Linked DNA regions of Neodiprion lecontei. The protein of the gene in region 2 purifies or fractionates together with the protein of the main gene of each other region. This does not show direct contact. Links are inferred from orthologs where the notes say so. Each region holds a gene or a part of one and is shown on either strand. Other genes may lie near its edges.

Region 1 (8,561 bases), about 20 Mb from region 2:
ACGACGTCCAGCCGGTGCAGAAATCATCTGGGATCTCGTACCTGACGAATCACAGACAGTCGTATTCAGCGGCGACGGCGAGGCCGTCGGTAAACACGACGCCGAATCCGCATCACGCGTATTACACGAAACAGGATGAGCAGCTGCTGGACGATGTGACCAAGCAGTACTTCACGATATTCGGTAAAAAGTTGCCGGAAAACGTCCTTCAAAGCACGACACCTTTGTACAGAGTCGAGGCGGCGGCTGAAACGACGACGGAGAGTCCGGTGGGCCACGACATCAACACCTACGTGGCGAACAATCCTTACAACGGTAACGGTAACAGTGCCGCGGTTCATCAGCTGCAGAGTTTGACACCACCCAAGGTCAGCGTTCACTACGGCGACCAGACGCAGAGGCCGTATTCCCTCGAGGGCGACACTCTGGTGAATTACAAAAACCCGTTGCCGCCGATAAACCCGGACGCCGAGTTCATCCCCGTTAACAAACCGGTAGCACCGTCTAGGCAGCGGCTCCAAGAGTTCCGAAGCGAGCAGATTTCAACGCCGTTCAGAAATCGAAACGGCGGTAATTACCTCCAGGGATCCAATCAGCGGGAGACGTCTTCGTATCGTGGACGCTATCCGACTCCGTCGCCGATATCGCTTGCCAATGATATTTCGGTAAACTACCGAGACCCCAGGCCGCCGATAAATCCGGACGCCGAGTTCATAAATCCTGTACAGGGGCAACGGAATCAAGCGACTAGAGGTGGCTCGTATTTTGCCTATCAGTTACCCGGCAATGGGGGACACTTTTATTTCCTTACGCCACAGGCGATATCCCAAAGGCAAGATCTTACCAACGGCGGATATTTTTACTCGAAACCCACCGCGACGAGGCTCGTGAGACGTCGTCGTCGGGGTCCCGCCGAGGGCTGAAAATTTCGAAATCGTACTGACCGAAGGCAGTCCCAAAATGCCATAAAACGAATGAGAAATGTTGCACGGATATTATCGAAGGAACAAAAGTATGGGCCTCATTTGTATGCCTATTACGTACGCAATTTGCTGTATCAGCACAACAATCCTGATTATATTATAATTTATTTTTGTATATATTGAGTATTAAGTTAATTACTATTGCTATTATTATTTTATTCTACGCCGGTATATTAGTGGCACGTTTTATCACAATCGTACCACGCAGGATACGATCAGTTGTTAAAATTGTGATTCGATTAATTATTATCATTATTATTGTGTACTATCTTGTATGTTATCTGTGATTAAAGAAATTTTTAATTTACGTGTACAATTGAATGATGTACAGGTGTTTAATTGATATGCGTGTCAAAAAGTTCAAGCTGTCAAAGAATATCGTGAATTCAATAGAATGTGAAATTTTCAACGAATCTTTTACACTCTGCGATAAATTATCCGATTTCCGATGTCGCCATTGAATAAGATCAATTTTAAAAACTACGTTGAAGATATTCACTTTTCAAACAATTAAATATGATTCTACAGTGTCAGTTAACTATCCTTCGTCCATTTTGTATGTATTTCGAGTTTGCGACAGCTGATTGGTGGTAAGTAAATATAGAAAATTCCGATATTGTATGCCAGTCACAAACTACATATCTTGCGAGAAATTTCTGTCAGAGTTCCATAATTTCTTCGATACAATTTGTGGATTAGAATTAAACTGATCCTTCTAAAAAGTTTGTACTTCTGAATTTTAAGTAGATGAGATATGTCGTTATTAAAGAATGAGAATTGTCGTACCAATTTATAACGTCGTTTGAAACATTACGTATGCGAAACGGTAAACAGTAGATATGAATTATTGGGGATTAAGTTGAGTGAATAATCAAAAAATAACTCACCAGTGTCGATTTCTTGCGTCTGCGTAGGATCCGGTAGAGGATAGTCGTTTAACCTCAGGTAAACTTCTATCGCGCACTTGGCTGCTTTGAAGTAAAACGGATGTGACCGCAAAACATCTTCTAATCTTAATAAGCCAACATAGGAACGCAATGTCATTTTTCTCATGCAATACGTGTGGAAATCAAACTGATCCTCCATGATTTCCGAAAAATGCTGGAAAAAAATCAACCAATTACTACGTGCTTTATACTACGTTTAAGAGGTTCTTCGAAATGAATCTTGAAACTTGAAAAGAATACACTGTATGCATACATATTACACTGCGAAATTGGATAGATTTAAAATTTAGCAACTTAATTGGCAATGATTGAAACATGGACTGATAAGAAATAAAAGAAAGCATAAAAGGAAATAAAATATAATTAAGCTCACCCTATCGACTTCGTGACACTTTTTCAAAGCTTCTCCGTACTTCCCAAGTCGTTGGTATGCTCTTGCTGCTTCCGTCTGGAACCACATACACTGCATTTCGTTAAGATTTTCCATAGCCGGAACACCCTCCCTCGTAAACTTTCCACATGTCTCTTCTGCCTCTTTGATCAGATTTGCGCGGAGCATATATTTGGCACATTTTGAATTTATATAACGATCAGCAGTATCTAGTCCCTGTGCTTCGTCAAGCCACTTGTACGCTTCCATGACATTTCCAGCATGCTGAAAATACACGAAATGTGATAAAATTAGATGGTTGGCTATTACGGCGGTGACTTGCGCGTTATACATGCAAAAACGAAAGGAAAACTAACTTTGTAAATTCGCCCTTTTGTGACAAAAAGCTCGATCAGTGTCGGTGTATGGTCAATGGCAGCGTCAATTTCTTTTAGAGCTTTTTCGGTAAGACCAAGATGGTCATAGTGTTGGGCCAGGTAGTAGTAAGTCCATAAAAGGGCGGATGCTGGCTCCCGAGGCAGATCTTTATCACTGTCGCTGAAGTGGCCGTGATTCTTGAGAGCCTCGACATACTCAAGAAGCAACGATTTTATTGTGTCAACCTTGTGTTGATCTTTGTAAAGAGATCGCAGGTTTACGAACAGTGGCGGAACACCTTTGTGAAGGCCTGCATGAAAATTTAAAGAACAGTGAACGATATTAGAATTTTAGTATAGCTTTTCTGTTGATAAGACCGTGAGTGATAAATTTTTATCTGTAGAGCACACTTGTACAGCTTTGTCTGTTTGTCAATATTTGGAAACGTAGATATTCGTCATCGTACCTTTTCTGAGGTACTGGTCAACTAAAACTTTGAATGTTTCTCCTGTCGCATAGTTCAATTGTAATCTTCTCGGTGCCAGAGCTCGGGGAAATAAATCTTGATATCGCTGAAGCATTTCCAACGTTTTTTCAGGCGAAGAATGCCTTTCAGCTTCGGCCAGCCTGGCGTAATACGTCGTATTTTCCGGATTTAAATTCAGCAATTCTTTAAAAACTTGTTCAGCCTCGGAAAATTGTTCTAACTCTAGTCTCAGTTTTCCTGAAAGTAAAAATTTTCATTATTCATAAAACGTGTACATTTGCCATCAAAAAATAAATAAAAATTGTCAATGGCATTGAGGACCTTGTTCAATTTGTCGGGTCAATATGATAACAAGTTTACCATGAACTTTTCACACAATTCATAAAACTTTAACTTGTGGAAATATAAGACACTTAGTGAATAAATGTACGAAGTTGTGAAGTTATGCTGACTCACCATACGTTTCTTTGACTGTGATTTTGTCACAGATTTGGTCACAGTACTTATCCAAATGCTTCAAGGCCTGCTCACTTTCCCCAGATTCTTGAATGACCAGGTTTTGGTATAACAGTAGTTCGCTATGCTCGTAGTCGTAACAACTCTGGGAAATCCAGTCAGTAACATAAGTACTATCTGAATATTACTCGATAAATAATCCCAAATGTAAAACAAATAAATTTAAATTTTGAATCTCCGACTAAAATGAAGTGCTAATAATATTGGAATATCAAAATATTGGGAATGCTGCGTTAAATAATTATTAACGGCTTGAATGTTTTGTTGGAAAATTGGACGTTAATATTAGAAAGAGGTTACGTTTTATATACAATTTTAGAAACATTTGTGCAGACTGCGTTTCTAAGAATTATAACGATGACTCAAAACCTGGATATTGTTCCACCAAAAATTTGATAATAATCTATAGCATTATCAAAATAAAATATACTAGAGAGCCAAGCAGTTTTTTAAATAAATATATGTTATATTCTAAATGATTGATTTATAATCAAATTCCCTGATTTTTTTTCAGTTTACTTAGTTTATAGCAAGCTCTACGGTATTCAATGCCAGATGTTAGTCACACTCGACTTACCATTTGTGAATTACGAAACGTGTCCAAAATCCTTAAAGCCATTTCATAATCTTTGAGTAAATGATACGACATCGCAAAGCCGATCCAAGAAGCGCGTTGGGTTGGGCGCAGCATGAACAACTGATACCTCGTATCCTGTTAGATAATAAAGAAAAAATTTAGTTCCGTTACTGGATTTTGACTGAATTATTCATACTGAAGACAGAAAAACTGAAACTAGCCTTGTATCCATCCAAATCTCGCATTTGAATTTGCAAGAGGGACAAGTCTCTGAGAATTTGGATGTTATCCTTGTCCCATTTGAGAGCATTGCGATAACACTTGATAGCTTCGTCATACTTTTTGTCAGATCGTTGGAGCAGACCGTAAACATGCCAACAGACGTGAGATCTTAGATCATTTCTCAGGCCACGTCGCACATGATCGTAAGCTTCCTCTTTGCGGCCCAGGCAGTTTAATGTCAGACCCTTCATCGCCAGGGTCTCGCCATGTTCGCTGTACTTTGGGTTGGACAATATTTGCTTGGCAAATTTGAGGCCATTTTTGTATTGTTTGTGTTCGTAGCATCTCTGTAAAACAATTTTAATTTACGGTTACTAAGATATTATAGGTGCACAAGTGTATTTTCATGCTTGATATTCGTACTGATGAGGTAGAAAACGCATAATTCGCTGACGGAAAGCTACAGTACGGATTCGTCGAGGGGTTAAGGAGTCAGAGATGCGTGAAATTCCGGGGTTGTGAAAATTAATAAAATTACGTAAATGTGTCTCAGTAATTCGAAACGATTTTGTAATGTTTTCGAAGAGTGCTTCATCATTAGGGCATGAGGAGGAATTCGAGGCATGGGAGAGCCGGGGAGTGGGGTGCAAAACAAGAGTATTTTGGTAGGGTGTTACTCACCAAAATTCGCTTGAATAAGGCATTTTCTTTTGGTGGTAAGGGGTTACTGGATGGCATTTTTGTATAAATACAAAAATCAAGGGCCTATTCAACCCGGTAAACTCAATTTTCACCGCAAAAACCTCGTGGCCGCAAACCAAGAAGTCGATCTTCGATCACGTGATCATCCGCGACAATGATGTTCCGCCGGAAACGTGAAGCGCACGGAGGCGCGTTATTGAAATATTATTCGTTATTAGGTAATATGCAGTCTGGCAACATGTGAATCTTCAATAGTCGAATACCGTTCACTTTCAAAAACCGTAATTAATGTATTGTTCATCAACATTTACCAGCTGATGTACTGCGCCACCATCTATTCAATCGGCAATTTTCGTAACAGTATTCACTTATTTTTATACAATTACATTCAGTCACCGTGAAAAATATGACACTTAGCATCAAAGGGGCACGCTAAATTGTACTGTATCGAAGTTGACCGTGATAGAAATAAACCTCAGGTGAAGTCAATAATCCTTATATAAATGACAAAAGTAGGGTAGCATTCGAGGGCAGCGCATGTAGGTGGGGGAGAAGGCTTGATTGTGAGACAAGGGGAGCTTTCCAGCAAGGAGACACAGTATGACACTGTGTTACACGGTCGAACACTGTGCCTTGGTGCTTGTTGGAACGCTTTGAGGTTCTTAATTCAGTCACTAGAGTCCGCTCATGCATGATACGAAAAATCTAGGAACACTGAGCGCTCCAGGAAAAAAAAACATTTGTGAAACGCGTGTAGATTATCATTGCATTTAATAAAGAAATATAAACAATACCATGCGTCGAAAATAAAATCTCTAACAAAAAAATTGGCAGCAATGAATCCGACACAGTGTCCAACCATGCTCCGCAGCTGTGTCCGACTGTGTCGTTCTGTGTCGTTGTTGGAAAGCACCATGTTCGACACAGTGTCGCTCTGTGTCGCTCTGTGTTGCTCTGTGTCGTTGCTGGAAAGCTCGCAGAGTGAGATGGCGTATGGGCGAAAGAGGAAAAGACAGAGAAAGAGAGAGAGCATAGAAAGTGAGAGATGCACTCGTAAACGAGTTAGATAAAATACTTAGTCATAAACGAGCGCGGGACTTTAAAAGTTACTGGACGTAGAATCGATTTGTGTGACCCTATCCTGACTAATTGGACGCCGAAAAACGCAAAATATGCATCTGATGGAGTGTAGCACCAATAGTAGAGAAGTTCCGAGGAGTACTCACTCGTTTTTTAGCTGTAACTCTTGATCCGATGCTCGCAGGATGTTCGGGCTGCGACCAATCGATTTCTATCGTAGAATTACGTCGATATGGAACGTGAAAAATTGATTCCGAAATTTTTCGAATACGCCACAAGTTTTTCTATAAATCCAAACAGGTAAGTCTTACCACGGAATGTAGTGGCTTGGGTGCTAGTATTCGTGACTGCGGAGCGAAAGGACTCGGTTTCAAATCCCCTACCTTACAATTAGGTCCTGAATGGCATCTTGCAAGATTGTAAGGGTCGTTGACTGAAAAATATAAAGACAGTTGCCCTAATGGGGCTTTGGTGTGACAACCGGAAACCGTCGTGCGTTGAGAACTTATTGCAGAACATCAGAGAGTTACCGATTTCGACGTGATGCTGGCTGCATTCGCCTTCCGAGTAGCACAGTTTTCGCTATGGTAAGCCTAAGCCAGTACTTAGCCTGTGTGTACTTACCGGCTTGTCGGCGATACAAGAAATTAATAATGAGCACAAATTTCTTCCAAAATTCGTAGCGAAACAGTGAATTAATTAAGGTAGAGGTACCCAAGACAAAAATGTATACATAGATCATAAATAATATATCAAATGTGATAATGATGCAGAGACCAAAAAGTATATCTGTACATGCGGTCTGTAGTGTATTCGAGTTGGCATGATTGTTTTCCCACTTGATGATCCGAACTCGTGGACTTGATAGCTCAGTCTTTATTTAGCCTGTATACGGTATTCGTGTTCGAATAAATCTTGAGTAATTAGTAGAATTAGTTCGACGAACCTTTCATTTTCAATTAGTAGTCGACCTTTTATTAATTATTACTTCCCCAAGACATTACACGGTGCATGTACGATATTAATAAATATGATCCGTTTACGATTAATACGTAATGCACACTATAATTTTTATAATTTTTCATGAGACAAACTAGATTGAGCTAGTCACAAGTGAAGTAACTACGTTGGATAGAGGAGCAGAATTGTTTTTCGATAAGTGTTCGTATGGAAACAAATGCGGAGTAACTGTAATACATCACGGATGCGCTAATTTTAATCGAAATGAAATGGATGCTCTGTATATGAGACAGTATTTAACGCAGTGCCCTGATTCAAAGCCTAAAAAGGTGCAGATTGTCGGCGATTTTCTTTTTTTGATAGGGTGAAATAGAACGAAGCTTCATGAAACTTCGAGTGGATTTCAACAAATTTAAAATGTAGGAGCAAACATTTTTATCATTCGACTGCCGCAGAACGGTAGCGTTGTTAGCTGACCCGTTAACTGAAGAATATATCTTTAGTCAACGGCTGACCATCGAAGGGCCTAGCCGCTTGAGTCTGGAATCGGCAGGAAAGATTGAGTGCGTATTTCTTGTCTGAAATGCGAATACTAAAATCATTATACATTTTATCATATCATCATACATCACATCATACGTCATCATATCATACATAGCATTAAAGTTCGAAACCAAAGTTTGGATGTCGTATGTTCAGAAAGTAACGTCACCCAAAATTTTTTTTTCTCTTGACGTCATCGATCTAAAATCAGCTAGTCGAATTGCTCAGTCTGGGAACAACCGCGCAGTAGAGCGGACGGATGAGAATCGCGCTCCGCAGATTTCCATTGCCGGGTTCTCTACCTCCTGGATCCTGCGCTCCGGGTCCGCTTCCTGGTATAACTCGAGTTCCAGGACAAGCGGTACGTAGTTTTTACGCTCTAGGTCCGCTACCTGTTGAAAACTCGACTTCCAGGAAAAGCGCTACGTATTTTCTGCGCTCAAGGTCCACTACTTGCGGAAACTTGACTTCCAGGACAAGCGCCCGATGGTTCCTGCGCTCCAGGTCCGCTACCTGGTAAAATTCGACTTCCAGGAAAAGCGCTTCGTAGTTTCTGCGCTCAAGGTCCACTACCAGCAAGAACTTGACTTCCAGGACAAGTGCTCCGCAATTCTGGCTGTCCAGGCCCACCACGTGCAGGAACTAGACTTGCAGGTCAAGCGCTCCGTGTGTCCTGCGCTTCAGGTATGCTACCTGGGAAAACTTGATTGAGGGAAAAGCGCTCAGTATTTCGTGCGCTCCAGGTCCACTACCTAGTAAAACTCGACTTCCAGGACGAACGCTGCGTGGTTCCTGC
Region 2 (7,703 bases):
GAGTACTAGTCTTGAATCGTGGATTATTGAAGCCACTCGAAGCACCTGCTTCACATAATAACCATTTAGGTAATAAGCTTCTGGTTGCTAACTACAGGATTCAATTGTTACTACATGTTGGCTTGCACATCTAATATTTAAATGAATTGTATTATATTTATTCTAATGAGCGATCTATTTCTATACATGAATTTAGTCAATTTAGTTGTATTCCAAAATACGGTCATAAGCCGTACAGGACAGGTGAGATTCCAAAATATATGTAAGATCAAGCAGCTACACAATAATTCAAGGTGAAATCTCTTTGAAGTACTTATTATGCTGGGAATGTATATTGAAGTTTTCCAGAAATAATTCATGTGTTATTGGTGATAAGTAACAAATACGTGACGATGCTATATTTATATTACGAACCGGTGAAAGTTACGTGAATTGAAGAATTTCTCCCTACCAGAGTTGAATTTTATCTATGTTGTAACAGATGTAATTGAAAAATTATGAAGCTAACTAAATTTATCTATGTTGTACACTAACCAAACAATAAATGTTCGAGTTTTTTTAGTAAACACCTAGATCGTGTTCAATTTTCAGTGTTGACACTGTTTGTATGTGGTTCAATTCGAATTGAAATTGATTAGAACTGTCCATTTTATTACTAGTGCTAAATTTTTCACGATAGGTTATACAAAAATTGGATATAAGGAACAATTTTTATTGACAATTTGTACAGCAGATAACATTATACGATGAAAACAGATGATGGAAGATTGATACATGAAGAGAATTTATTCATTGACTTGCTGATTGATTTTGATGATTAGCTGTTGTTGGCGGGCGCAAAGTTTTTTGTAACACATGTGCGTCTGCAGGTTCGATACGTTTGTAGTAATGTTTTTTCGTTTCAACAACTTCAAAGCCGAACTTTTTGTAGAAATCAATAGCCCCCTCGTTGTTAACTTGTACGTGGCTGATCAAAAGCAGAAGCAACACGTTAATAAAAGAACTTCATGCGCTCAGTTCAATTTAGACTATGTGTGGAGATTTTGTAAATTAAATAAGTAACTCAAATAACTTACAGGAATATCGAGTCAAAATTCCCGTCTTTAGAGACATAATTAAGTACATGTTGTACCATAACAGTGCCGATCCCCAGTCGTCTATAAGGGTACAAACATCCCAAAGTCATTATATACAAACGGCGCGAGTTCTCTGAGGTATCTACACGACAACACACAGCCCCTACCTGAAATTAGTGTTTGAAGATAAACTGTTTGAAAATATTTATGCTAGTGACATCCGAACTGTTTCATACGTAAATCTGTGTAGCTGGGATTGGAATACCACATGTGTGAAAGGAGACTAAATTTTGCTTGTCAGGGATATATAATTATCTATGAGTCGAATTAAATAACATACCACAATGTCATTATAGTAAGCGAGTTTAGCCAGCTCGCCAGCCTCCAAGACGTCTTTGTAGAATTTCTCGTTATACGAGACAGGAAATACGACTTGATTAAGCAGTTTCAATTGCTTTATGTTGTGGGGTGTAACATCCCCCAATTCTATCTTTGATCTGTGCGTTGATAAAGGAAAATAATTATTGCTATATAGTTGCAAGGTATAATGGGCAAAAATATTTTTAAATACAATTCGTCGAGCATGCAGCAACGGTCGGCAGTCTAACCTCAAATTTGGGACACACGGTTACTCACCTTGTCATTATACGTTAATAGATATTCACCTATCTCAAAATAAATAAATTTCTACAAATAAATGCGTGAAAACGCTAGTCAGGTAAGGTACTGTAGTCGTCAATAAATAATATTCAGATCAAAATGAGCGATTCGTGCGGTACTTCGAATCCCTCCGAAAATTTCGTCTGCAGTCGGAGCTAGGTGAAGGTGGTAAAGATACGAATAGGCGGGATAGGGTTAGTGGACGCCCTGTGAAGATATCTACAAGCAGTATCAGTCAGCAAAGTAGAACACCCCTCATGTCGACGTACCGACAGTCAAAATTGCGATGTTCTTTTTTTTTTTATTTTGCCGCTCAACCGCTAGCACAAGCGTGATTCTGCAGCGGCTGCCTTCAGGTAACTCACGGAATTCTGGGAAGATGAGAAGTTCGAACGTGCTTCGGTCGCGTGCTGAATGTCGAATTTGTGCGAATTTCTGCTTAGTGTGAGGATTTTTTTTGTCATTAACCCGGTTTGTGAGGCTGGCATTGTGAACTGATCGTCAAATAAACAGTTCAAAGTCACCAAGAGGATCGTTTCAGTGAAGTATGCCTGCGACCGGATTTTCTAACGCTGAACAAATGACGATAGCAATTCGACTGTTACGTACTTCAACTGTATGACTAAATTGGTGAAATATTTTCGGTGAATTCATAGAAAAATCATCCGATGCTATTCACTTCAGGACGTTCCATTTTTATTTCGTCGCGTTTATTTCGGGTACGAGAAGTGATATACGATCGCTACAACAAAATGCATAGGTATGTCTAATAGTGTCGTAGATATTTAATATTTGTGCCGATGTGATGAGTTTTTTGTTATTCTGTTGCGTAGTTCATTTCTTAGTGCATCAAAAGTTACTGAAATATTACGAAGAAAAAGTTTTTTTTTGACACGGACAGTCTTTAGTGACGTAAAAACTGTCGCGTGTGTAATGAGTGTGGGTAAAATTCTACTATTTCCTTATAACAGCCTAATTAGAAGTGTGTTACCATTCAACCTGAACAGCTACTACGAGAACTACTACATTCAAAGTATGGAGCAACCTGGAGAAAGTAAGAATACTTAGGGTGATAATTTTTTAATAACTCAAAATAGTCCCTTTGAAACCGAATTTTTGTCCTTGAATAACATGCGGTGAATAAATATGGAAATAGACAACAGTGATAATTAATTAGAGTAGTGAAAATCTCCAGCTTACATGTACGTCGGCACTGTTTGCTAAATTAACTCGAGTTTTGTTTTTTGTCGTTTCCAGAGTTAAGCAGAGACATCCGAGTAACTTCTCCATTACTTGGCAACGTTGGTGAGTTTGCATGTGTTAGGTTACGGGTATTTCCCTGGTTTTCCTCTGTCACGTGGCGTGGCGGTAACAATTGTTACACAAATTGTTTCGATTTCTTGCCTGGATAGGTTCATTCACGATCGCAACGGTGCTTTTCTTTCAGTCAAATCATTATTTTTGCAATCTAATTGGCAGTAGCTTACTTGAATTTAGAAATTTTGCCCGTTGCGATGGATTCACCAGAGGGTTAATTATACGGTCGTTTAATCATATTCACATGATCGTTAAATTGATGAAATTTCAAAGTCTGGCATAATGTAACGTAATCGAATTTCATGCCGTACCTTGAATCATTTCGAATTTTTTACGATTCAGCAAGTACAAATCAACTGCAGATTTAGCTCGCTTAGATAATTACTGATGAGCATACAGGATATGTTACTAATCAATTTTACAAAATGTTGATGTACCAATAGTTTCCAGCATCATTGAAATACTTAAACGAAGTATATTTATTGCACCTGGCTGACTACAGTACAGCAACATTTTGCTCCCTACAGGTGATCAACGAAAAAGTAAGTCACAGTGACCACGGCGCGAATGAGGAAGAATGATGTGTGTTGGAAAAAATGGGGGATCGTTTAGATCGAATATAGGTAACCGGGTACGTAGGTGGTCGTTTTGGGATCCGTCGCTGTGTTAGTGGATTTGCGTGTGAGTTTTTCTTTTCAACATCTCCGTTGGGTGGTTCCGTTGGGAATCAGGCGAGGGTAGGAAGGCCGCGATGTATCGTGATGTTACTAACTTTTTTAATCCACAGCGTCAAACGAACACAGAGATTCCCCTCCTGAAACATAAGAACGACTCCGCGGTACAAAAATCTTGGAATCATTTATAAGCTTATAAGCTTTTTAACCTAACGATATTCGATCCAATTATTCAGTCATTACTAATCATTGCTTTATTCGATTGACCTCTGTGATCGTATGAATGGGCAAAACGCATCTCTGGATCATCTATTGCGTTCCGTGGTACGCTGGATGGGGAGAGATGCTGAGCTCGAAGACTTCGCGTCGAAGAGGACCGCCGACCGTCACGCCACACAATAATGCATGCCTTTCAACCTCCCTTCCGGACTTGATTCGCATCTGAGAATAAACAATCCGCATCGTAATGTGTCGGATTTGAGAAGACGCAGATGCGGATTGGGATTCGACAGAAATTTCCGACAAGTCCTAGATATTTAAGGTTTTTTTACAGATTAATTAAAGTTCTCAAGTTTGACCGCGTCTTTAGCGCGTCGACTTGGTATTTTTTTGGTTATTAAGGAAAGTGGAGCTTTCTTAGAAAAAGTCGAAGGCTCGGTATTTACAAGCCGGCTTAATGTTGATTAAGAAACGTATAATTTTTTCTTGTCAACAGAAATAATAGAGCTAAAGACTGTAGAAGCAAATGATAATAAATTCATTGTAAAGTGAAGAAAAACGCATGATTCTAGATCTTCTAGGTGAATGCATCAGCCGTACCGCTACTACAGATTGCTTACTGATTGCCATAATTGTTGATGTCGGTAAGTTACCATTCAATTCTTGTCGTACACAAATCCCCATAAGGCTGGCTCTCTGACAGAATGTGATTACTCCATGACACCACACCATAGGCGTAGGCGATCACTCAACAGTGTGTGGATCTCTATATACACAGTGGATATAAGTATGTGCATGCTGGTTGTGCAGCTTTTTACTTGAGCATGTCTTGAAGGTATCTATATTTCCTCGCGTGTAAACGAGGTGAATTTTGCGCATAAGGAAACTGCGTCCACAAATGTATCGCTATATTTGCAAGGAGACACTTGTCAATAATCTTTGCTTGTTCCGTAAGTACTAGTCTATTCCATATTATACTTAATTTCAGTCCATCATTACGACTCCTCAGTGCAGGGCTCATAACCTAGTCGCCTATTCGCTGAGAAGTACCAATCGTAATAAATTTTTCTTCATCGTAAACATTTCGAATCCGTTAGACTTGTTTATCGATAATAGCCGTATGCATGTTGCGTGTTACATCTCTCAGTATTCCAATAAAAGGCATATTTCATTATTGCATAGAAGTTTTGTGTTTTCTCTTAGTGTAATTCAAATTTTCCACACTTTGAGATTTCACTTCATTGTCTGAACATAACCTGTCAACTTTTCCCTAGGGTCTTTTAAATGCAGGAAAATGTTCTCTGCCCTGGCCCCAGTTGTCGATGAGAACGTCGCTGTTCCAGTTCTGGATAACAAAAGGCTGATAGAAGAGCCGCCAGAGGATAGCGATAACAAGAAACAAAAATTGGATAATGCGGACAGAGTGAAGAAGCGAAAAGTGGCAATGCTTTTGGGTTATTTGGGAAAAAATTATTACGGTATGCAGAGAAATCCACAAATGAAAACGATAGAGGAGGACTTGATACAGGCTTTACTCCAAGCAAAGCTCATAAATGATGAAGCTTTTGAAACTATACAGACAATTCAGTTTCAAAGAGCCGCTAGAACAGACAAAGGTGTTTCTGCAGTCAGACAGGTTGTCTCTCTGAAACTACGTAAGATTAAAATACTTTTGGCAAATACGACTGTGCATGGAATTTTTAAGATACGCTTGTGGTAGTGAGTTAGCCGATCTGCGAAGTAAACATATCTGACTCTTCGACTACTTTCAGTATTCAACATGTATACTTGGCCTTGAATTACCTAATAGGCGACGTTTTGTACTTAGGCGAGATATTCAAAGTTATATCAAGGATTGATTCACCATTCAGATCATTTTCACAGCTGAGCATGGGAAGAAGGAAGATATAAATGCGTTTTTGCCCGAAGAAATCAGAGTTTTTGGAATAAAGAGGGTAACGAAAGGTTTCAACAGTAAAAGCAGCTGTGATGCTCGGTCTTATATCTACACGATGCCAACTTTCGCTTTTGCAAAAAAACCGCCAGATTCGGAAGTGCTAAACGAGGAATATGACGTTGATAAAAAAATTGAGGAGCTTTCTGTTATCAATGGTGAACCATTCCACAAGTACCGGATACAGCCAGATGTACTTGAGAAGGTCCAATCGGTGCTGAAACTGTATGAAGGAACTCATAATTTCCATAATTTTACATCAAAAGTGTAAGAGCAACGAGCTTATAGAATTTTCCTTTTCAGGTTTACGTTAATAGCGCGAATAACAAATGGTGAATTTTTATTCGCAGAAAACCATTGGATCCGTCTGCAATGAGATATATGATAGATTGCTCGTGTAGCGATCCGTTCGTCATCAATGATATGGAATTTGTTACTCTTAAGATCAAGGGGCAAAGTTTTATGTTGCACCAAATTCGAAAAATGGTTGCATTGGTTATAGCCATTATCAGAACTCAGACATCGGAAGAAACTTTGAATGCAGCTTTTGGACCAGGGAAGCTAGACATTCCGATGGCGCCTAGTTTAGGATTAGTTTTGGATCAGGTTCGAGAAAAATACGATATCTTCATTAATTTCTTGAATTCTGGAACCGCATTTGTATTTTTACTTTCTGCAAAAACGCCTTGTTTTACTTGTTCAGTTGAATCATATTTATCGCCACTAGGTTCATTATGACAGATATAACAAACGATATAGTTCGGATGGAATTCACGAGGCTCTAGAATGGCCAGAGGTCAATGATGAGATTGTCAAATTCAAGGAAGACTACATACTGAACTACATCTGTGAGAGCGAGCAGAGTGAAAAGTCGTATCCTTGATCTGATGACTTTTAGTGACAATCTATACTTTTATTCATCTTTCATTTTATACTCTTGTCAAAGTTAGAAGTTTCATCATACACTTCCAAGATTTTCCTTAATCGATTCCTAGGATGCTTCAATGGTTGGCTACACTGTGCAGACATAGCTACGATATCCGCGAAGACAGCGTTATCAGTTAATGTCATGCTTCCAAATTGATTATCAATTATAATATAATAGATGCAATATACCCTGATTTAATAACACGTATAATGTATTAAATCCTTGACATACAGTATTCTCCTCATTTCTTGTTTTACATTCTAATAATTATTATTGTAAATAACGGATTGAATTGAAGAGAAAATTAGTATGAGCATATGTGAAAGTAAGCAATAATGCGAAAAGGATTAATCAATTCCATATTTGCTGGAATGGTTTTAAATTTACACAAACTAATTAAGGTTAATAAAAACCAAAATTAATGTCGTCGAACTTGTTAATTATTCAGTTATATTTCAGCATAGTATTGCGTAATGTTTCAAAAATAGAAGCGGCCATTTCTCTTTCGATTTACTGACGATTCAGAAATTTGTCCAGATGCGGTATTGATGATTATAAAAAGAATTATTTTGATGCAACGCAGCAAATGAATTGTAAAGGTCGTACATAAATTTTGTGATAACTTGCACTTTCATTCATTTTTTCGAATAACTCTTCAGCCTTCACTGATTTCACCACCACGTGCGTTGCGTTTATACTGATTTCTTTCTCTCTTCTGCGCTGTCACGGACAATATTTCTCCCAATCCTTTCAGTTCAGTACGACCATTTGACTCGCGAAGACTGGCTTTTCATATATATGTGCTGAACTCCTGATTTCCGGCGCTTTTCGAGGCACGCCGAAGGGCGAGACAGTGTTTCATATTTTCGTTGACA

Evidence for each region.
Region 1: the proteins of probable N-acetyltransferase san (region 2) and N-alpha-acetyltransferase 15, NatA auxiliary subunit purify together in Drosophila melanogaster (affinity purification with mass spectrometry, with the first as the bait; 3 studies listed by BioGRID). This does not show direct contact. The link is inferred for Neodiprion lecontei from reciprocal best matches to the Drosophila melanogaster genes san and Naa15-16.

What each region holds. Positions count from the first base shown.
Region 1 is NC_060265.1:6,922,935-6,931,495, forward strand, and holds the start of N-alpha-acetyltransferase 15, NatA auxiliary subunit, read right to left. Parts: upstream 5,770-8,561; 5' UTR 5,219-5,769; coding exon 5,162-5,218; intron 4,828-5,161; coding exon 4,480-4,827; intron 4,394-4,479; coding exon 4,259-4,393; intron 3,767-4,258; coding exon 3,622-3,766; intron 3,403-3,621; coding exon 3,145-3,402; intron 2,989-3,144; coding exon 2,678-2,988; intron 2,586-2,677; coding exon 2,304-2,585; intron 2,085-2,303; coding exon 1,871-2,084; intron 1,305-1,870; exon of another isoform or gene 924-1,304; coding exon of another isoform or gene 1-923. Other genes in the region: uncharacterized protein LOC107222800, read left to right, coding at 1-923.
Region 2 is NC_060265.1:27,202,128-27,209,830, forward strand, and holds probable N-acetyltransferase san, read right to left. Parts: upstream 1,930-7,703; 5' UTR 1,721-1,929; coding exon 1,713-1,720; intron 1,574-1,712; coding exon 1,417-1,573; intron 1,244-1,416; coding exon 1,077-1,243; intron 968-1,076; coding exon 790-967; 3' UTR 692-789; downstream 1-691. Other genes in the region: serine/threonine-protein kinase SIK2, read left to right, coding at 6,420-6,506, 6,628-6,773, 6,896-6,965; tRNA pseudouridine synthase A, read left to right, coding at 4,845-4,896, 5,221-5,601, 5,831-6,125, 6,204-6,276. UniProt on the Drosophila melanogaster protein: N-alpha-acetyltransferase that acetylates the N-terminus of proteins that retain their initiating methionine. Has a broad substrate specificity: able to acetylate the initiator methionine of most peptides.